Linked DNA regions of Kluyveromyces lactis. The protein of the gene in region 1 interacts with the protein of each later gene in a biochemical or structural test. Links are inferred from orthologs where the notes say so. Each region holds a gene or a part of one and is shown in the gene's direction. Other genes may lie near its edges. The genes, in order: YME1, TIM10 and TIM9.

Region 1 (8,819 bases):
ATTTACGTGAAGAGGTCTTGAAGCAGAATATTATTGAACAGATAGAGAAAGATTGTTAGTATCAAAATAGTCATGGATAATAAAGAGGTTAAGAGTAGTCCTTCAGTTGAGGATGTTAACTCATCTACCAAGAAGAGTGCTGATCTGTCGAATGCAGAAGTGACCAGCTTTCATGAGGCAAAGAGGAAATCTGCCGGTGGTGGTGTTTTCGTTGCGATGAACGATGACAGTTCCATTTCTAGTATTGGTGAAGATCCAGAAGGAAGGGATCCGAATAGTGTGCAAGAAGAAAATATATTGGCTGAATATTCAGAAGAGCAGGTTATGAACATGGGACGTGCTTTTGCTAAGAAGTACGAGTTGCCAAATGATGATGATATTTTCGCTCGTGGTGCTGCTTTGGCCAGAAAACCAAACGAATACGACAGGTTAAATGTTCTAAAGGAAGATGAACGTATTGCTTGTTACGATGAAATTCATCATCCTTGGAGAGTCCCTCCAAAGTTGATTGCTATTATCGCTGCCAGTGCAATGGGTGCTGCCGTGCAAGGTATGGATGAAACTGTTATCAATGGTGCTAACTTGTTCTACCCTAAAGAATTGGGTTTAGGGTCAGGATCCAAGAGGGACGATTGGTTGGAAGGTCTTGTTAACGGTGCACCTTATCTATGTTGTGCTGGTGTCTCGTGTTGGGCTACCGATTGGTTGAACAATATGTTTGGTCGTAAAAAGGTTATTTTCATCACTTGTGCTATCTCTGCTATCACCTGTTTCTTACAAGCTTTCGGTCCAGCTGGTACTCCAGGGTGGCACTATTTGTTTGCCATGAGATTTTTGTTGGGTTTTGGTATCGGTCCTAAGAGTGCTACGACTTCCGTTTACTTGGCTGAATGTTCTACCAAAAAGTTACGTGGTATCATCTGTATGAACTGGCAAACTTTCACTGCTTTCGGTATCATGTGGGGTTACGTTTTCTCTTTGATCTTTTACAGAGTTGGAAGAGCTGGTATTGCCGGTGGGTTGAATTGGAGATTAATGTTAGCCAGTGCTATGATTCCTGCTATTTTAGTTTTAGTGCAAATCCCATTCTGTCCTGAATCTCCCCGTTGGTTAATGGGTAAAGGTCGTTACAAGGAAGCTTATGAATCCACCCTCCAGATTAGAAATCACAAGATCCTAGCTTGTCGTGATCTTTTCTATCAACACGTTTTGTTGATGGAAGAAAACTCTTTGGAAATGTCTTACTGGACTAGATTAAGGGAAATCTTCACTGTTAGAAGAAACAGAAACGCCTTGATTTGTGCCTTCATTTGTGCCTTCATGCAGCAATTCTGTGCAATTAATGTTATTGCGTACTATTCCTCTGCCATTTTCTTGCAATCAGGTTTCACTGAAATTTCTTCATTGTGTGCTTCCCTAGGCTTCGGTTTAATTAACTTCTTCTTTGCTATTCCTGCCTTCTTCATGATCGACAGATTTGGAAGAAGATTCCTTCTATTAAACACGTTCCCATGGTTGGCAGTATTCCTTTTGATTACAGGGTTTTCTTTCTGGATCGATGATACAGAAAAAAGAATCGGTGTTGTTTCGATGGGTATTTACGTATTCTCTGCCATTTACTCTTTCGGTTGTGGTGTGGTTCCATTCGTTATCGCTGGTGAAGTTTTCCCCTTGTACGTCCGTGCCATTGGTGCATCTCTTTTCACCATTGTCTTGTGGGGTTTCAACTTCATTCTATCTTTAACTTGGCCAAGTATGCTACGTGCCTTCGAGCCTCAAGGTGCCTTCGGTTTCTATGCTGCTTGGAACGTCATCGGTTGGTTCTTAGTCTACTTCTTCATGCCTGAAACAAAGCAATTGACTTTGGAAGAATTGGATGAAGTGTTTGATGTACCATTAAGGGTTAGAGCCAAGTATCAACTATTGGAATTGTGGCCTAACATTCAAGAAAACCTCCTAAGAAGAAAGAATGTTAAGAGACAACCACCACTCGATAAACACCACAGAATGGCCATCAAGGCTGCCGAATGGAACGAAAAGGCTGAGGCTGAAGAATTGGAAGTTACCGAGATCTAAAATCAACTCAACACTTAATATTTTTATGTCAGTAGAAATATTTTTTGGTAGAAATTAACCTCCTTTGCATGATAAAGCTAGCTCAAACTATCATCATGTCATCGCTTTTCACACTAATTGATAACTTATCAAGTAATAATATTGCGAATTAAAGAGAATTTGAACAGAATGCCTGGTGTATTTAAATTCACTCTAATTCCCCTTTGTCTTCCTCTGTTTAATAGCTTAACTGTTGAACTTTCAATTAAGTAGATATTTATCTAGCTAGTTAGTAATGTTTTAATGTGATATTTTAAATGTAAGAAACAAATTTTAAAGTTCTAGCTAATATCTTGACATGTTGAAATAAAAGTGAAGAAGTCATGTAGACCAGGAAGTGATTGCAAACATTAATGACTATACTTACCAAAAATCGAATCAGATGCATTAGATGTGATCATGGGAAACGCTTGAGATGCTCCTAAAGTGTTCAAACCAAGGCTTTATGCAGCTGCTTCTCACGTGGAAACTTAGTCACTAATCACGATTTGATGTTTACGTTTATTTGATGTTTTGTAAACATTGAAGGATCGGGACGCAGTATTCAGATCCATTTAAAGCTGTTCAGGAAAACAGAGGCAAGTCAGGAAACGGGATAATTGTGAGCATTATTCAGCTGCTTTATCAAAGCTACCTTGGTTAGGTTTTCAGGAGTAGCAATGACTACCCAATTACCGTATGACGATGATGACAACGGTCTTTTCACGAATAAGTCCACTATGATGGCTAACTTTGAAGAATGGATCAAAATGGCCACGGACAACAAAATCAACTCAAGAAACAGTTGGAATTTCGCATTAATTGACTATTTTCATGACTTGAACGTGTTGAAAGATGAGGAGGATAATATTAATTTCCAGAAGGCTTCGGCGACGTTAGACGGTTGTGTGAAAATCTACTCTCATAGAGTCGATTCCGTCGCTACTGAAACAGGGAAGTTACTAAGTGGATTGGCAGAACGGAAAGGGAGGCAAATTAGATCCAATACAAACGGAGAGAACGATGATGGAGATGAGGAAGATGATGACAGTCTAGAGGTAGATCCTTTAACTGGTCTGCCGATTGCCCGTGATGACCCAGAGACTCTCGCGAAAAAAAAAAGGACGTACAATAGAGTGTTAGAAACGACGTTAGTTGATTTTGAAAGTATACGACTGAAAGATTTAGCACAAAACCTAAGTATAGATCCGTTGTTCAAGAAGGCACTCGCCGATTTTGATGAGGGTGGTGCGAAGAGCTTACTTATAAACACGTTACATGTTGATGAAAAACTCCGAGTTGTTTTTGACGCAACAACGACTGAACCTGAACAAGAACAACCGCAACCATTGGCCTCTACTGAAAGTCAAGTTCAGGAAGAAAATAATGAAGTCAGCGAATCAGCAAAAGAGACCTCGGAGGTATTTGGCTTGGATTCAGAAAAGGGTTCAGCAAATGAGGAAAATGTAGAATCAACCCCAGATACATCAGTCACATTGCTAGAGGATGATATATTAGATCTCGGTGTCAAATTCTTAGATTTTAATACTATTGAAACCTCAATATTGTGTCCATCGATGGATCAGCTCCAAAGTGCAGTAGCGGATATTGGAAAAGCAAAGTCATTTGTTGAAGGAGTGAATGGCCAATCTGATAAATTCTTGACAGAAAAAGATCTAGAGACCCTTCCTGAACTCGATGCGGAGGCAGAGTTCAACTACGAAATGCCACCAGAGGATGGTGAGGATGTTGCTGTTGATGCAGGTTCTATGGACTACGTTGAGCCAGCGGATAACATTCACGAACCAGAAGAACAGCTGGCCCTATCAAATCAACAGAATATGTCACAAATAGATGACAAATCGTATGGCGATGCGAGCGTACTCGATCAAGAGTTACTATCTTACTTTGACGCAGCGATAGGTCAGAATTGGAGGGGTAGAGAACACTGGAAGGTACGAAACATCAAGGATAAACTTAGCAAGGAGTCTGTGGCCAAACCACAGCAGCCAACTGAAGCCGATGGGAATCATGAACCAGCAGTTGAAAAGAAGGTACCCAAAAAACAGTTTGAGATTGATTTCTTGGATCTGAATGATAACATTGAAGAAGAAATATTTGCAAATAAAAAGGGGTTCATTGATCTATCAGTGAAACAAAGAACAAATGATTCACATTTCTTACTACCGGACGACTATAAATTCACAACGGATAAAATCACAAGGCTCTTCATTAAGCCCGAGCAGAAGATGAGTTTCTTTTCACACAGGAGGATCAGTAAAGCCAGGTTACCTGGGTCCCTGAAATTTGATGATACCGAAATCAAAGAAGTGAGTAATATTCCGGAGATTGCAGACGAACGCTTTTGGGCTGAAAACTATCAACTGCATGAAAGGGAAGAAGAGCACAAGCAAGATGACACACAGATAGAAAGATCAACCAATCCATCGTTTGAAGAGGATAACGGCATTGACTTCAACCAAGCCTTCGAAGATGAAGATTTGGATATGGATACAAAAGAAGATTTCGTAAACACGCAAGGATTAGTTGCAAATAATAAAATGACCTACTCCAGAACCTCCAAAAAGGTAGATGTGAGAAAATTGAAGAATAATGTGTGGAAGTCAATATGGCAACGTTTACATGTACTGAAGACAGACGAACAAAATGGGGAAACTACTCGGAATGAGGAAACTACTCAGAATGATATCGAATCAGAAGCACATCTGACCGAAGAGAAGCAGGGAAAGCAGGATATATCAGCAGAAATATCAACAAAAGCAGAGGGCTATGACTTGAAATTCACCGATATCGCTCACGATATCGTGAACATGTACACTTCAAGTGCCAAAAAGGATCTCTCAACCAGTTTCTGCTTTATCTGCCTTCTTCACCTCGCTAATGAGTATGGATTTACGATTAACGACACTACAAACTACCAAGACTTGGACATTCGGTTCCCTGAAAAGATTGCAGACGCAATTATTGGCAAGGAGTAGCCGAACTATAGCCGACGTAATTATTTTGTTTGTATATAGAAGAGTATTGATCACGTGATGTTCGTCTAAAAAGACCTCGTTCCTTTTTATTTTTCTGGCACTTTCGAATCGGATTTCAGCTGTTACGTAGAGTTTCTCCCTAATGAAATGCAACGCCACCCGGACGAGCGTTCATCAGCTTCCAAGAATTTGTTGATAATGTTGAAATTTGAGTAAATTGAGCATTTGTCAAATTTAAAGGTTTTTATTTTCTTTAGAATGAGGATATATATGGCTATGATTATTCGGGTCATTTAGAAGGCAACGAAAGAGGCAAAAGGCTTTTAAGAATAGTGAACAAAGGAAGCAACGAAAAAGTTGTATATACCAGCTCAGGTACTTTGAAAAAATCACTTTTACGGTGTACTTATTAAGTGTTAAAGGCTAGATGACGCTTCCGGTGTTGATTGGTGTTTCTGGTTTGTGCGCCAAGAACGCTTCTCGAGTGTTGATTCGTCAAGCCCCTGTCTTGACAGGGCCAATTTTAAGGACTTTGCATAGAAAGCATTTTCTTACAGGCAGCGTGCTACAAAACAGATTATATTCGGACAAGAACCAAACAGGCAAGGATCATAATGGTGTTACAGGTTCTCAGCATTCGGAGGACTCGAAGAACACTGTAAATGGGGCAACAAGTGGTGCAGAAAATGTTCAGCAGCCCAAGCAACTAAACGGGATTAATTCGAGTGATATTGATCCGGCAAATGGACCTGTATCACACGCTGTTTTGGCTACTAAGGAACAGCAAGCTAATAAAGATTTGTCTAACCCAAGTGCGCAAGCGGAGTTCTATAAACTTCTCTTGAAATCGAACTATCCGCAATACGTTGTTTCGAGATTTGAAACTCCTGGTATTACTTCATCGCCTGAATGTATGGCTTTGTATATGGAAGCTTTACAAAGGATCGGTAGGCACGCTGATGCTGAGTCTGTGAGGCAGACTTTGTTGACGACTGCTCCAGCTGGAAGTATTCCTCCTGCCGTGGCTTCATCTGGTGCTTCTTCCGCTGCATCGGCTAACGGTGCTGCTGCCCAAGTTACTGGAGGTGTTTCATCTGGTTATTCTGGCATCTATAATCCGTACATGGGATCCAAAAAGGAACCTCTACATGTTGTTGTCACTGAATCCACATTCTCTATTGTTTCCAGATGGTTAAAATGGTTGATCGTATTTGGTGCAGTTACATACGGTTTGACTGAAGGTTTCAAATACATTACAGAACATTCAACCCTCTTCAAGACAAATGAAGTCGCCGATAAATCTGTGGATGTTGCAAAGACTAATGTAAGATTTGATGACGTGCGGGGTTGTGACGAAGCTAGAGCTGAATTGGAGGAAATTGTCGATTTCTTAAAAGATCCTACCAAATACGAATCCTTGGGTGGTAAGTTACCTAAAGGTGTTCTATTGACCGGACCTCCAGGTACTGGTAAGACTTTATTGGCAAGAGCCACCGCCGGTGAAGCTGGTGTTGACTTTTTCTTCATGTCAGGGTCAGAGTTTGACGAAGTTTATGTAGGTGTTGGTGCCAAGCGTATCAGAGAGTTGTTTGCACAGGCCCGCGCTCGTGCCCCTGCTATTATCTTTATCGATGAATTGGATGCTATTGGAGGTAAGCGTAATCCCAAAGATCAAGCTTACGCAAAACAAACTTTGAATCAATTGTTGGTTGAATTGGATGGGTTTTCCCAAACAAGCGGTATAATTATCATCGGTGCCACTAACTTCCCAGAATCATTGGATAAGGCTTTGACAAGACCAGGTAGATTCGATAAGGTCGTCAATGTTGACTTACCTGATGTTCGCGGGCGTGCTGACATTTTGAGACATCATATGAAGAAGGTTACTGTTGCTCCTGATGTGGACCCAACTATCATTGCAAGAGGAACCCCAGGTCTTTCTGGTGCTGAGTTGATGAATTTAGTTAACCAAGCCGCCGTATACGCTTGTCAGAAAAATGCTATTGCTGTCGATATGCAGCACTTTGAATGGGCAAAGGATAAAATCTTGATGGGTGCTGAAAGGAAAACTATGGTTCTCACTGAAGCTACTAAAAGAGCCACCGCTTATCATGAAGCCGGGCATGCATTGATGGCACTGTACACTGCCGGGGCAACGCCATTATACAAAGCAACTATCTTGCCAAGAGGCAGGGCATTAGGTATCACTTTCCAACTTCCTGAAATGGATAAGGTGGACATCACTAAGAAAGAATGTCTAGCTAGGTTAGATGTGTGCATGGGTGGTAAGATTGCAGAAGAACTGATTTATGGTAAGGAAAATACTACCAGTGGTTGTGGTTCGGATTTACAAAATGCTACCAACACTGCTAGAGCAATGGTTACTCAGTACGGTATGAGTGAACAAGTCGGACCAGTAAATTTGGCTGATAAGTGGGACTCATGGTCTGGAAAAATTCGTGACGTTGCTGATAACGAAGTACTTGAACTTTTGAAAGCTTCAGAAGATAGGACGAGAGCCTTATTAGCAGAAAGGGAAAAGGAATTGCATAGATTAGCTCAAGGATTAATGGAATACGAAACATTAGATAGTACCGAAATTCAGAAGGTATGCAAAGGAGAACCTATCAATAAAATGAAAATGGCCACTACTACGGTGGTTGAAGGACCAGACAGCGATGATCGTAAGGAAATCGGCGGTGATAAATCAAAAATTCCGGTACTGATTAAAGCATGATCAGACGCAGAACTAAAACGTCATTGGATACGGACTCCTAGCATTACACCATTGATTGAACATTTCACCGACCATCTTTCTGTATCTGCATTTGACCTGTTTGAAGAACCCCACTACAATGGTTATGTTGCAACTTGTACAGAATACCCAAATTGAGTGGTTAATTTTAAAAGTGTTATATGAAATTACAGATCATAGCATTTTCACATAATAAAGCATAAAAGCATTGACGTGTCTTGTAAATATAACATTGGCCGGCCTTCTTGAAGAAGCGGCAGTCACTACTTTACCCCTGTCGAAAGACTATAAATGAAGATAATAGTTCTCTTCGCAAGTATATATGCATATTTGTATAACAATTATTCGTATGAATGAATGAACTTTAGGAAGTTTTCATTGAGAACTCTACTTAACTTGTATACTACTACACTTTCAACTTTTTAGAATCCGGTTCCGTTGTAAGCTCAGCGGAGCTATCACGTTGTTGCTTTTGTCTGCGCATCCTATCTACCAGCAGCATTGGATTTTGGCAGTAATGCAATTTTGCGTCAATTTTAGTTGCCTCTTCTTTGGAAAGTGTTTCAACGTTCAAAATCATCGCCTGACACTCTCGTATTAGCGCTGTTAAAGTTTGCAATTTTAAATTAGATGGTAATTTGGTATCTGATGGTGTTTCTTCCGTTTTCAAGCCTTCCGTTTCCGAGTCCTTTTGCTCCTCAGGAGGGCTCCCAAACTTCACTTCCAAGTATTTTAGCGTTAACGCTTCATCATCTATCAACAAGCATGCAAGTGTAATTTGCGGTGGGGTGTAATGATATACTACATCTGTGAGAAGAGTTTCGGTTATTCTTCTCTTGCAATTTGTGTAGATCTGGCCCATATAATTTAAATCGACTTTTCCATGTAAAATGTACTGGATATCCAAGAAAAACCCATGCAACGGCCTGTATGGATGGTGATTTAACAAAGTAAACTGTAACGATTCTAGC
Region 2 (6,603 bases), on another chromosome or scaffold:
CCTTAAAGTCCCATAATCTTTTGAGGGTACCGGACGTTTGGAAGTATAAGAGGTTGGATATATCATTCAATATCGGGGTTTGATTTTCTGCTGCAACTAATTTGTCTAAAATCGTAGAATGCTGACACAAGTCTTCAAACTGCTGTACACGTTTCGCCTGATAAACCTTATCTAAAAACTCTAGTGCGACATTCTGTTCTGTAAGTTTTGATAAAGTCCAGGAGTCCGCATCTATTGCTATTTCTGTATCTCCGTTGTTTCTACTTCCTATTGGAAGTACTATATATTTCTGTTTTCCCCTTGCTAAACGTCTTTTGTATGATTTTGGTAATGGGGCATGCAACGGGCATTTCCACTTCGATCCCAGGTTTTTCAAGGATGCTCTAGGCAGTGGAAGACAATCTAAGTGCCATGGTGTTGAACAGTAATCGCAAGTCATTATCAGTCGTTGGGAGTCCGGATGGTCCCATGTTCCCATCTTTGATTCTCCACAATTATAGCACACTAAAAGTTCTCCAGAATCCTGGTTGAAATGATACTCTGGCTGATAAGAATCCATCCGTGTGACAGACTGCCCGTACGCGGAATGAAAAATTTGTTTTTCATTGATATTTTCTTTAAAGTGTTCGTCACGATATTCTCCTTGCGACCCCGAGGAGACCGAATCGAACGTTGATTTGATAATAGACGGCAATTGAAATTGGAACGGATTTTTCCTTTGAAGATCAAATGTTAGAGTACCGAATAACTGATACCCGGGTTGCTTGAAATGGTCTTGTAAAAACCTTGTTTTCAACTTTTTTTCAGAGGACAGTCCGTATTTATTAGACTTGATCCATTGCTTGAATCGGCATTCATCACAAGACCAATCACCTTCTGGTAGATGGCTTGGATCCAAAGGTGGGTTACAGCAAGCAAAATGGAAAGATTTTGGACAAGTGTCACAGCATAAGAACACCCCAGGACCATGACAGTTGGAACAAAAATCGTCATTTTCCTTGTTATTATCCGGATCAATTTCTGGAATATGTAAATGAGAAGCTTTATCATTTTGTCCAAATAACTTGGTATCTTTATCCTTGGTAGATTTCAACCTTTTCGCCATTTTTAGTGCTATCGATTTACTGGGCGAATTTCGTATAGGATCCTGTAGCATAAAATCCGAGTCAGCCTCTTGTTTAATTCCTGAATTTTTGTTGTGTTTAGTGGGAGTGTTCGCTCCTATGCGTTCATGACTTTGTACGGTCAATTCATTTGATTTTTCAGTTTGTAGTTGTCCCTCATATTTAGCCTCCATGCTGCTCTTTAATGCCTGTAATATATTGGATTTCTTCTTCTTATTGTTACCATTTCTGTGTTTACCACTTCTATTATTGCTATCATCATTGTCGTTATTATTGATGTTATTGGTACTATTATTATTGTTACTGTTGTTGTTACTCGATCCCTTCGGCTTCTGAGATAATGGCGTCCCTGTCATAGCATTTATTGGATCATGCACTGGCGGCTCCTGAAACGTTATATTTCCATTACTATCCTTAAGAATGACTGGTCCAATAGGTTCTGTCGATGGTTCTTGGGACGGTGATGAAGATATTGAGGATGTACTTTTCGTTGGATAATCATCACTTGGAATAATCCGTCTCTTTTTCAGATTATAATCCACATTGGCAGTACCTGACCGTTTGGGCCTCGTTACCTCCATATTTTTTGTCATGAAGCCGGAAAGTAGATGTACTGGCACGTAATTTTTTTAGCCGGTACTTTCCCCTACTCGTTGTTTCGCGTTGAACCATAATTTAATTCAATTGTTAGATGCGTTCAATTAAATTTGTATCGCACTTTTTTATTTTTTTTCTGTATTCCAATATCACGAACCTTCGATAGTTGAAGTCGTATACACATACCAGCTATATCAATGATAATGGAATCAAAATGTATATAGTTACGGGAACAGGCTGAGGCGTCACCAGTCACATTAAAATAATAGAAGCAACCATGGACGACGAATTGAGAGCCATTAGAGAGGCCAGATTGAGGGAATTGAAGCAACAAAGTGGAGGAACATCAGAATCAGCAAACAACGGATCGAATGATGGTCAAACACAAGCGATATTGAATCAGATTTTGGATTCCAATGCACAAGAAAGATTGAGCAGGGTAGCGTTGGTGCGGCCAGAACGTGTAAAGGCAGTAGAAGCTTATTTACTACAAATGGTGCGGTCCGGTGCTATTAGAAACAAATTAACAGAGCAGGACATCGTTGGAATCCTCGAATCAGTCGGAAGAGATGAGCAAAAGCGCAATACTACACGTATTATATTCGATAGAAGAGAAAAAGGAACAGCATCATCTAGTGTGGATCAAGATGACGATGAAGACGATGATTTCTTTGACTAGTTATCTGTCTTCAATATATCAGGTTTTAACAGAGAAAGAAAGTAAGATATACATGCATATATAATTACAACGAATGAGAACTCAATCCTCATAAGTACCAAATAATTGCAAGAATCGGTAGTTCCAAAGGTTCAATGACTACTATAGGTCAATGCTCCCTCTGTCAAATCAATACATGTCCAAATCACGTGCATGTGACCGGGTAACGTATATTTCCTCATATTTCTGAAAATTTTCAGTATAGCAACTATTCGTCAGGAATTGCAGTTCACTAAAATTTAACTAATAGCAGTTAAATGCGTTGACAACTAGACTGTTGTTTGATCTGTAAATATTTATTGACGTAGTTTATCGTAGTGATTAGTCTTCTATTCATAGCCACAGGAATACCACTCCTACAATAACAACATATAAAAATCATCTTCTAAGAAATGTTCGGTCTAGGCGGTCAACCTCAATTATCTTCTCAACAAAAGCTATCAGCAGCTGAAGCTGAACTAGATTTGGTTACTGACATGTTCAACAAGTTGGTCGACAACTGTCACAAGAAATGTATTGAACAAATTTATAACGATGGTCAACTAAACAAGAACGAATCTACTTGTATCGACAGATGTGTTGCCAAGTACTTTGAAACTAACGTTAAGGTTGGTGAAAACATGCAACAGCTAGGCCAAGCTTTCTCTCCAGGTAAATTCTAAACCCGATGAGGGAAGCTTAAGCCGGGACGTTAGTGCATAATCTTTTTCGCAACTTTTCACGTTTTATCATGTACATATATGACAAATTTTGTATATACAAATATATTATATATATATATTAATTATCTATTTACAGAGTTTTAAAAATGAGGTAATGTCGGAGTACCAAACGATTAGGTTTGTGTATCTCGATCAAACCGATAAATATAGAGATATAAATGTATTTGCTAATACCGTGATGTGTTTTTGTCCATTATCTTCCCTTAGGATTGAAAATTTGGACGATCCCTTCTGTCTTTAAAATCCTAGCATTTTCATAACGCGTAATTTACAACCTTCAAAAGTATTCACTTTTGGTCTAACGTCCAAATATATTGGAGGAAGGTGGTTCTTTTCAGGTTCTGGATTCGAATAGAAGTCGATGACATAATCTATTTGTTTCCCGCAGCGATCGACGACCCAATCGTGCCTATCAAAAGGTTTGGTCATTCCAAGGATTGAGGATCTAAACCATGCTCTTGGGGTTAACTTCTTTGAATCGCCTTTGAAACTAGTCAATTTGATGCCACCACAGACATCTCCCCCTTGTCCGTCTTCCCAAATTTTGATATAATTCCATACTCTTTCATTAACGGAATTGTGGATGGGAACAACGGCTTTCATATCCACAGCTTCGGGATCCCAATTTTTTCTCTTCATTGCCTCGAAGAATTGCTTCTCTGATGGATAAACCCAATTATCCGATGTTCCGGTTCTAGGAATGGAGGATTTCTCTCTCTCTGTTGGCAAATTAACAGCTGTGGTATATTTCGGGTGTTCAGGTATCTCATCACTTGAACATTCGACATCCTCAGTGATGATCGATATGATTGGTGCTGGTGCTGCTGCAACTGCAGCACCGCCAGCAGAGCCATTAACGGTCTGTAGATGGTTTTTCAGCCATACATCCTGGGAAGAATGGTCTACCGGACAAACTCCTGACCCTTCAGAACTAGCCGGTGGATGATTTGGAGGTAGTGCTTTTGCTGATTCATTCTTATTATTAGTGCTCTGTTGTTTCAACCACACTTCCTTCGTGGAGTCATCCACAGGACACTTAGGCTGTTCTGGCATTCTTTTGCACTCCACAGTTAGCTTCTAAACAGTCGCGAATCCCCTTTAAGCCGCCAACGATGTTGCTTCTATATTTCGAACTATTGCGTTCAAGCCTATCCTGATGAAATGCGCATGAATAAGCTTTCCTGTATTCGCATGTTCTGCATACTTTTCCATTTCATTCATTTCTTTTCAATTGATATCAAATTGATGAAGTTTCAGAATGAAATTGATATCCACGGGAGATGACATTTCATTACCCGAATGTGCGACAAACATCCTTGTTTCTCACGTGACTTGACCTCCAGATGGAGACAGCTCTCCGTTGTACATAGCAATCGATCTTGCAGCCACCGTTAACATATTGTGGTGCAGTAATTACCTGCAGAGCGACTTCAACCTAAATCTGAAACAGGGACGTTGCTAGGAATGTTTTTTAAAAGGAAGCAAACCCTTAAACAGTGTCAAGTGCTTGTTTGTTTTTTACTTGCTTGTTTTATTTTCCAATTGAGCTTGATTTTAGTTGTCGTCTCTGTGAGATTTCTAGGGTATCTGAGTTGAGGTTCTTGACTCAAAGCTTCATCATGTTTTGAGGTTCCTATGATAAAGGCTATGCAATGCTAAATCAGGAATGTAAAGTAAATATTGCTACGTTACCTTTTAATATTAACATATATATAGACGGATTGGCCACATCGTGCCAACTACGGCGAAAACGTGAACTATAAAGGAAAATGAAACAAATGAAAGAAACTGACGCTGGCCGGCAAGAAATTAAGCATTATGGGTTGCGTCGCAAGTACAGGAAACTATGAGAACGAGGATGATCCCTTCATTCAAAATAAAAGGGCAAATGATCTCATTGAGCAAAATTTACAGCAGGAAAGGAATAAGAATAAGAATGAGGTGAAGCTCCTTCTATTAGGAGCAGGAGAAAGCGGTAAATCAACAGTGTTGAAACAAATGAAACTCCTACACCAAGGCGGATTTACCCATAGAGAACGAATGCAATATGGACAAGTCATCTGGGCAGATGCAATTGAGTCGATGAGAACGCTAATCTTACAAGCAGGCAAGTTGGGCATCGAATTGGATAGTGATTTGAAAAATGCACATTCGGGGCAATTGGTGAATACGGAATTACACCAATGCAAAGAGAAGATCTTCCGTGCTAACACATTGGACCAGATTGATGCCAGAATGGCGGGTGGTTCAGAGTTCCTAAACGAGTATGTGTTGAAATATAATGGCATAGGATCTAAGAAGAAGAGGCAAACCACGCTTGGATTCAAGGAATCAAATGGTGCTGATCCTGAAGAAGAGGATGAGACAGACGCTTTCTTGAGTGAAAAATTAGCCGGGACAAGTTATACTGGTTCCTCGGAGACTTCAGAGTTGAAACGTATAGACCAAAGTACCAACGAAGAAATTGCCTATGCAATCAAAAAGCTTTGGACGCAGGACAAGGGGATCAGACAATGTTTCAATAGGTCAAGTGAATTTCAATTGGAAGGATCTGCATCGTATTATTTTGATAACATTGAAAAATTCGCTCGAGTTGATTATGTTTGTGATGACATGGACATTTTGAAAGGAAGAATTAAGACCACTGGGATCACCGAAAACAGTTTCAAGATTGGACCAAGCACGTTCAAAGTTTACGATGCTGGGGGACAACGAAGCGAGAGAAGAAAATGGATCCATTGTTTCGAAGGTATTACTGCTGTGGTATTTGTAATAGCAATTAGTGAATATGATCAAATGTTATTCGAAGATGAAAGGGTGAACCGTATGCACGAATCGATAGTATTATTAGATACACTATTGAATTCTAGATGGTTTGCCAACACACCTTTCATACTATTCTTAAACAAAGTAGATATTTTCCAAGAAAAGGTGAAGAGATCTCCAATCAGAACATGGTTCCCCAATTATCCAGGGAAACTGGGTGATAGCGAGACTGGACTGAAATATTTCGAATCATTATTCTTAAGCTTGAACAGAAGTAACAAGCCCATCTACGTACATCGAACTTGTGCAACCGATACACAATCAATGAGATTCGTTCTAGGTGCCGTGACAGATTTAGTAATTCAACAAAACCTAAAAAAGAGCGGCATCTTATAAATCCTTTAGGTGTAATATGTCAGGTAACGCGCACACATTACATATAAGTTGTACATAGTTAAGCGATGAATAAGGTTCTAGATCTTTTAGAGGGTAACCTCAAATATTTGTCAGACCCCATCACAAAGGCCAGGTTAAAAGTGAAAAGGCAAAAAAACAGGGTGTTTCCGGGTAACGAAAGATAGCAAGCAAGTCTACTATTTAAGAACTTCAACAAGACACATAAGTACCCTTGCTTGACGAAGTTCTACTGTACTGACAATATATAGATACTTGCAGG
Region 3 (6,584 bases), about 1.4 Mb from region 1:
TTATTTTCGTATTTGGAATATTTCCTATAGTTGTACTAGACGTTGATGGTAGATTTTTGAGATAAATATCGTACGCTTCAAGTCTAGAGACGTGGATTTTCTGTAGCTTTAGGAACGGGAATTGCACCGATTGAAGAACAAAAGCTGCTGTAACACCTCCAATAAAAATGAAAACTCTTGAATACCACATTTCCTCTTTAGGAGAAATTAACCTTGGTTTCTTCGTTTCAATCTTATTACCATCTTCATCGAAAAATATATCCGAGAGTCTTGTGTTCTGCACCGTATATTTTAGTTCCCTATAATTCTTGATAAAATCTAACATCAATTGGCGAATTGGTCCTCTGATCATTTCAAAAGTAGTGAAATACAATGCAAAGCCAAAGGATTCTCTTATGAATGATAATCCAAACCCACCAAAGCAGCCAATCAAACCAATCTCTCTGATCTTATCACGACTATAAAGCCATAGATTATCATATTTTTTTGCGCTGGATAAAAGTTCATCAATGTTTGCTCTTGTATAAATGGCATCTATTGGAGCTGAGACAATGGCTTGTGCAGCACCTGCAAGGAATCCTGCTCTTAAAAAATCAAACATATTATGTTGAAAAGCTTGATCTGTAGCCCTCAACGGAAAATTATTCAAAGTGGCTAAATAAGTAGTGTATAGCACAACTCCCGCCAGCGAATTGGCTACTAATGGCGGTAAAATTCTGTCAGGTATGACTTTCCAACCATATCTGTTCAATGCTTTAGTGACGATTCCGATTGAAGAGTTCTCCAAATAATAAGTATACTTTGGATTCCAAAACCGATACCTCGAACTTCGTACTTTTGTCTCGGACTGTGTATTATCGCTACCTGTAAGAAGTACTCGAATGTAATGAGTATAGTCAAATCTAGCTGGTCTGAACAATTTTAACGGAGTCCTCATGTAAAAAGATGTTAGTTGATACACCATAGATCTTCCACCAGCAGTAGCAGCACCCACAAGAGAAGAGGTTTGGTTTGATAATGAATTGACATTTGCTTTATCTGAAACATCTTCCAATCTCTTGTTGGCATCAGAAGACATCACTGTCTCTTCCCCTTAATGATCACTTGAACAAAACTCCGATAGGGTATAGTCAATATGTGAAACTGGACACTATATCAAAGCAAAAAGTAGTGTTGGATGCTAAATGGGATCGTTTTATTTAGGTTCTATCGAGGAGAAAAAGCGACAAGAAGAGATAGACCATGGATAAATGATTATGTTCTAAACACTCCTCAGAAGCTCATCGAACTGTCATCCTGCGTGAAGATTAAAATCCAACTTAGAAATTTCGAGCTTACGGAGACAATCATATGGGAGAAGCAATTGGAAGATAGAAAAAAGGTACTCGGTACATAAATATATGTGATTCTGGGTAGAAGATCGGTCTGCATTGGATGGTGGTAACGCATTTTTTTACACACATTACTTGCCTCGAGCATCAAATGGTGGTTATTCGTGGATCTATATCACGTGATTTGCTTAAGAATTGTCGTTCATGGTGACACTTTTAGCTTTGACATGATTAAGCTCATCTCAATTGATGTTATCTAAAGTCATTTCAACTATCTAAGATGTGGTTGTGATTGGGCCATTTTGTGAAAGCCAGTACGCCAGCGTCAATACACTCCCGTCAATTAGTTGCACCATGTCCACAAAATCATATACCAGTAGAGCTGAGACTCATGCAAGTCCGGTTGCATCGAAACTTTTACGTTTAATGGATGAAAAGAAGACCAATTTGTGTGCTTCTCTTGACGTTCGTTCGACTGATGAGCTATTGAAACTTGTTGAAACGTTGGGTCCATACATTTGCCTTTTGAAAACACACGTTGATATCTTGGATGATTTCAGTTATGAGGGTACTGTCGTTCCATTGAAAGCATTGGCAGAGAAATACAAGTTCTTGATATTTGAGGACAGAAAATTCGCCGATATCGGTAACACAGTCAAATTACAATATACATCGGGCGTTTACCGTATCGCAGAATGGTCTGATATCACCAACGCCCACGGGGTTACTGGTGCTGGTATTGTTGCTGGCTTGAAACAAGGTGCGCAAGAGGTCACCAAAGAACCAAGGGGATTATTGATGCTTGCTGAATTGTCTTCCAAGGGTTCTCTAGCACACGGTGAATATACTAAGGGTACCGTTGATATTGCAAAGAGTGATAAAGATTTCGTTATTGGGTTCATTGCTCAGAACGATATGGGAGGAAGAGAAGAAGGGTTTGATTGGCTAATCATGACCCCAGGTGTAGGTTTAGACGACAAAGGCGATGCATTGGGTCAGCAGTACAGAACCGTCGACGAAGTTGTAAGTGGTGGATCAGATATCATCATTGTTGGCAGAGGACTTTTCGCCAAGGGTAGAGATCCTAAGGTTGAAGGTGAAAGATACAGAAATGCTGGATGGGAAGCGTACCAAAAGAGAATCAGCGCTCCCCATTAATTATACAGGAAACTTAATAGAACAAATCACATATTTAATCTAATAGCCACCTGCATTGGCACGGTGCAACACTACTTCAACTTCATCTTACAAAAAGATCACGTGATCTGTTGTATTGAACTGAAAATTTTTTGTTTGCTTCTCTCTCTCTCTTTCATTATGTGAGATTTAAAAACCAGAAACTACATCATCGAAAAAGAGTTTTAAACCATTACAACCATTGCGATAAGCCCTCTCAAACTTCCTCCAGACTGTTTGTCATCCAATTGGTAAGATTAATTATCATATACCCCGGATAAGAAAAGAAGCAAGCACACAATGGATCAACTTAATGGTAAGGAACAACAAGAGTTCCAAAAAATCGTGGAACAAAAGCAAATGAAGGATTTCATGCGTCTATACTCCAACTTGGTCGAAAGATGTTTCAGCGACTGTGTCAACGACTTCACATCCGCTAAGCTTACTTCTAAGGAACAAAACTGTATAATGAGATGTTCAGAAAAGTTCTTGAAACACAGTGAACGTGTGGGTCAACGTTTCCAAGAGCAAAATGCTGCCATGAATCAAACCATGGGTCGTTAAAAGGTTTAAAGAAGAAATTCTCCCTACCAACCTCAAATTTTATTCTGTACATACTTCATTATATTATAACATTATATTATAACATTATATCATAACATTTTATCGTAGCTACTACGATTACCATAGATTTTAAGGACTATCTCTCCCATGTATATTCATTCTGTTTCTGTATATAGAAAGGTTTGCATTTCATTGCCATATGACTGGCCAAAAAAAGATGCTCCTCAGACACAAGGTAATCGGTATTGTGTTATCTGCGTAAGTTGCAGACTCCCTGCATTGCACTCAACTAGGCATTGTCGTAAATGACAAGCTAAACTGTCCGTCCGTTGTCCCTCCCATGTCACGTGGTCTCCATTAGAGAAGAACTGGCGACTTGATTTATTATAACAACGACAATAGGGCTCAAGCTGAAGTTCCATTAGAAACAACCTTCTCACGAAGCGAAAATCCCGTTAGGGATTTGCTTGATTATAACTCACCGGGGGTTTGAACCCTCGGCGAGCGGACAGCTGCGTTCCACCGAATTTCCCACCTGGAATGAGGAGAACAACTCCTCTGATCAAGTAGAACATTCAAATCACATGACCTCTTCTCAAAACACTTCAAAGTAACGAGCATCCACCTTATACTTAAGAGTGAATATTCTTTGAAGCGCTTCAAGGGCTTAGTATGAAGTTGAGAACAGGAAATGAATTGCCATATTTGATCTTTTTGTAACCAGGTTCATATGAACAGAGACTTTGTGTTCTGAGGAAGATTCGAACCGAAGTCGCAACGTGGCCTTTTTACCAGCTACGGCACAACACCCGACTCAAACCAATTACGAATTCATTCAGTAGTAGACCCTGTCACGTGTGTGTCAGGTGTCATTTCCGTAGTTCAGAGTATCATCCACGAGGCCAAGGACGAGAATATAATTAAACTTATGTAAATTATCAACTCCCTATAACTCATCATCTGTGAGCATCAATTCATCGTCAGCTAATGGCGTGAATTGAGGACCTACTTCAACAACGGCAGGTCTCACAAACCCGCCGTAATTCTTTTTTACTGGTCCGAAATACTTCGTTCCTTGGAATGTACCATTGTTCTTACCGTCAGGTTCGTCAAATTCAATTCCACACCATACATCTGTATTACTGATCTCTTGAACTTTTCCCACGTATCGTAACCATCCTCTTCTTTCGGGGACCTTGGTGGAATCGGTCGTTGTTTCCTCGTTGGACAGTACTCTGCATCTTTCTCCAACGTGTTTTTGTAATAGTTCTGCCTTATCGATATTCAGTTGTAGTTGTTCTTCCATCTTAGAGCGGTATTCAGGATTAAATTTCCCTAACTTGTTATCTTTTTTCCATTGTAATACAGAATCCCTTCTGTTCTCATAATCGTCCATGGTGTATCGGAACGAAACGTCATCGCTATTAGCATGTAGCAAATCATTTTTCAATTGGCTTGCTAAACTGTTTTCGTTGGTGTCTATCACTTTTATGGACTGGATTTTCTCTACTTTCTGGTCTTTGAGATCTTTCAAATACTTGCTGTTCTGTGCATTGCCATTTATCACCAATTTCATGTCTTGAACATCAACACCGGTCAATTCGTTCAATCTTTGGCCCAGATGGTCCCATGATGTACCAGGTTTCACAAAGATCTGAGTGTTAACCAAATCGGATATAATTTCCACGTCAGATGACATTATCGGTGCTGATATATCCTCTGTTTTATTTTGTCTTCGATGCTGTAAGTTCAATGTTTGTCGTTTTGTCCAGGCATGTTTGAACATCGAATTTTTCAATGTTCCGTAAACTTAAATGAAAAGTTAATTTGAAACCAGTAACACACTTTGACAATAACCCATTGAGCAAACAGCGCTACCCCACCCAACCAACTACTAATAATGAGCGAAGCAGTATGTTAACTACTATAATTAGGACGGCTTTCTAAAACTTCTTCAACTTTCTCAAAACAATGATCCATTCTACATTTTAAGTTCAAATTTACTAACAGTTAGAGAGTTTATACATTCCCCTTCTCTGCAGAGGCAATCACAACAACCGAGACAAGAGCAGAAGAAGAAGTTCGAAGGCCCAAAGCGTGAGTCTATCATAAATCTTGCACAATATAAGGACACAGAAGTACGTGTCAAGTTCATAGGGGGAAGACTGGTCACTGGAATCCTAAAGGGTTATGACGAGCTAATGAACTTGGTTCTTGACGAAACCGTCGAATATGCAAGAGACCCAGAAGATGAAACCATCATCCACAAGGACCAAGCCAAAAAAATTGGTTTGGTCGTCATAAGAGGAACAGCTCTACTTTCGCTATGTTCCCTCGAAGGTGCTGAGATCATCAATACCTAGTTAAGACCCAAAAAAAAAAAATTTCAAGCAACAGTGTACCATATATGTTCATTAATAGTGCTATATAACGTTCAGTGCTATATCAAACTCACACTATGAGCCCATATCCACATTTCTACCTGTATCTAATGAAATAAGTATCTCCAACGGAGATACTTTCCTAACCGGCTACATCTCACTTATCAAGACCTAATCTGCACAAATGTGCGTTCACGTGACTTATTGAATCTTTTTTCTAACATCAGCAAAGCTTTTTGGTTAAATTTCGACCAAAAAACCGTATCTCATCGCATCGACTGATTAGAGAGATATCTTGAATTCTTTAAACCGACTGCGTCCAGGTGTTCATTTATATATATGTGAGTATATATCTCTTGTGAGAGTTGTTCTTTTAACGTTTCAAATTCTCTTTTCGCTTGTTGCTGCAAATCTGTTTGAATAATATTTTCTGTAGTATTCTTACTCTTTACTGAAGACCAATCAATTAGCGCATCAAAGCGAACTTCACTTAGGTTTATCTGCTGCTAAAAGAAAATAATATGAGTTCTACACAACCATTTCCTAATGTCCATCTATTGGCACAATCGAAGCAGTTGCTTGGCTTGTACACTATCATCAGAGATAGCCTTACTAAGAGATCTGATTTCATATTTTACTCTGATAGAATCATCAGGTTGTTGGTCGAAGAAGGTTTGAACCATTTGCCAGTAACTCCAAAGACTATTACCACTGACACAAACCAGAAATTCGAAGGTTGTTCCTTCCTAGGTAAGATTTGCGGTGTTTCTATTGTAAGAGCAGGTGAATCCATGGAACAAGGTTTGAGAGACTGTTGCAGATCGGTTCGTATTGGTAAGATTTTGATTCAAAGAGATGAGGAAACTGCTATGCCAAAGTTGTTTTATGAAAAACTACCTGAAGATATCGCTGATAGATACGTTTTCTTGTTGGATCCGATGTTAGCTACTGGTGGTTCTGCTATCATGGCTACCGAAGTGTTGATTCAAAGAGGTGTGTTGCCAGAAAGAATCTTCTTCTTGAACTTAATCTGTTCCAAGGAAGGTATCGATAACTACCATGCTAAATTCCCAAATGTCAGAATCGTTACCGGTGCTATAGATGCAGGTTTGGACGAAAACAAATATTTAAT

The links.
Region 2: of the proteins of YME1 (region 1) and TIM10, one has a biochemical effect on the other in vitro, tested with the Saccharomyces cerevisiae proteins (2 studies listed by BioGRID, with this or other methods). The link is inferred for Kluyveromyces lactis from reciprocal best matches to the Saccharomyces cerevisiae genes YME1 and TIM10.
Region 3: the proteins of YME1 (region 1) and TIM9 form a complex in vitro, tested with the Saccharomyces cerevisiae proteins (2 studies listed by BioGRID, with this or other methods). The link is inferred for Kluyveromyces lactis from reciprocal best matches to the Saccharomyces cerevisiae genes YME1 and TIM9.

Annotation. Positions count from the first base shown.
Region 1 is NC_006041.1:606,198-615,016, reverse strand, and holds YME1 (i-AAA protease YME1), read left to right. Parts: upstream 1-5,520; coding exon 5,521-7,830; downstream 7,831-8,819. Other genes in the region: KLLA0_E06755g (sugar porter family MFS transporter), read left to right, coding at 73-2,076; condensin subunit BRN1, read left to right, coding at 2,775-5,093; TFIIH complex kinase subunit CCL1, read right to left, coding at 8,255-8,819. UniProt on the Saccharomyces cerevisiae protein: Catalytic subunit of the mitochondrial inner membrane i-AAA protease supercomplex required for mitochondrial inner membrane protein turnover. The protease is probably ATP-dependent. Important to maintain the integrity of the mitochondrial compartment.
Region 2 is NC_006042.1:2,401,618-2,408,220, forward strand, and holds TIM10 (protein transporter TIM10), read left to right. Parts: upstream 1-2,831; coding exon 2,832-3,101; downstream 3,102-6,603. Other genes in the region: RCO1 (Rco1p), read right to left, coding at 1-1,717; SDD2 (Sdd2p), read left to right, coding at 1,999-2,400; cytochrome c1 heme lyase CYT2, read right to left, coding at 3,399-4,214; GPA1 (guanine nucleotide-binding protein subunit alpha), read left to right, coding at 4,980-6,323. UniProt on the Saccharomyces cerevisiae protein: Mitochondrial intermembrane chaperone that participates in the import and insertion of multi-pass transmembrane proteins into the mitochondrial inner membrane.
Region 3 is NC_006041.1:2,033,310-2,039,893, forward strand, and holds TIM9 (protein transporter TIM9), read left to right. Parts: upstream 1-2,807; coding exon 2,808-3,071; downstream 3,072-6,584. Other genes in the region: KLLA0_E22749g (uncharacterized protein), read right to left, coding at 1-1,078; URA3 (orotidine-5'-phosphate decarboxylase), read left to right, coding at 1,686-2,489; ALF1 (Alf1p), read right to left, coding at 4,018-4,770; Sm-like protein LSM7, read left to right, coding at 4,972-4,983, 5,114-5,434; FUR1 (uracil phosphoribosyltransferase), read left to right, coding at 5,974-6,584. UniProt on the Saccharomyces cerevisiae protein: Mitochondrial intermembrane chaperone that participates in the import and insertion of multi-pass transmembrane proteins into the mitochondrial inner membrane.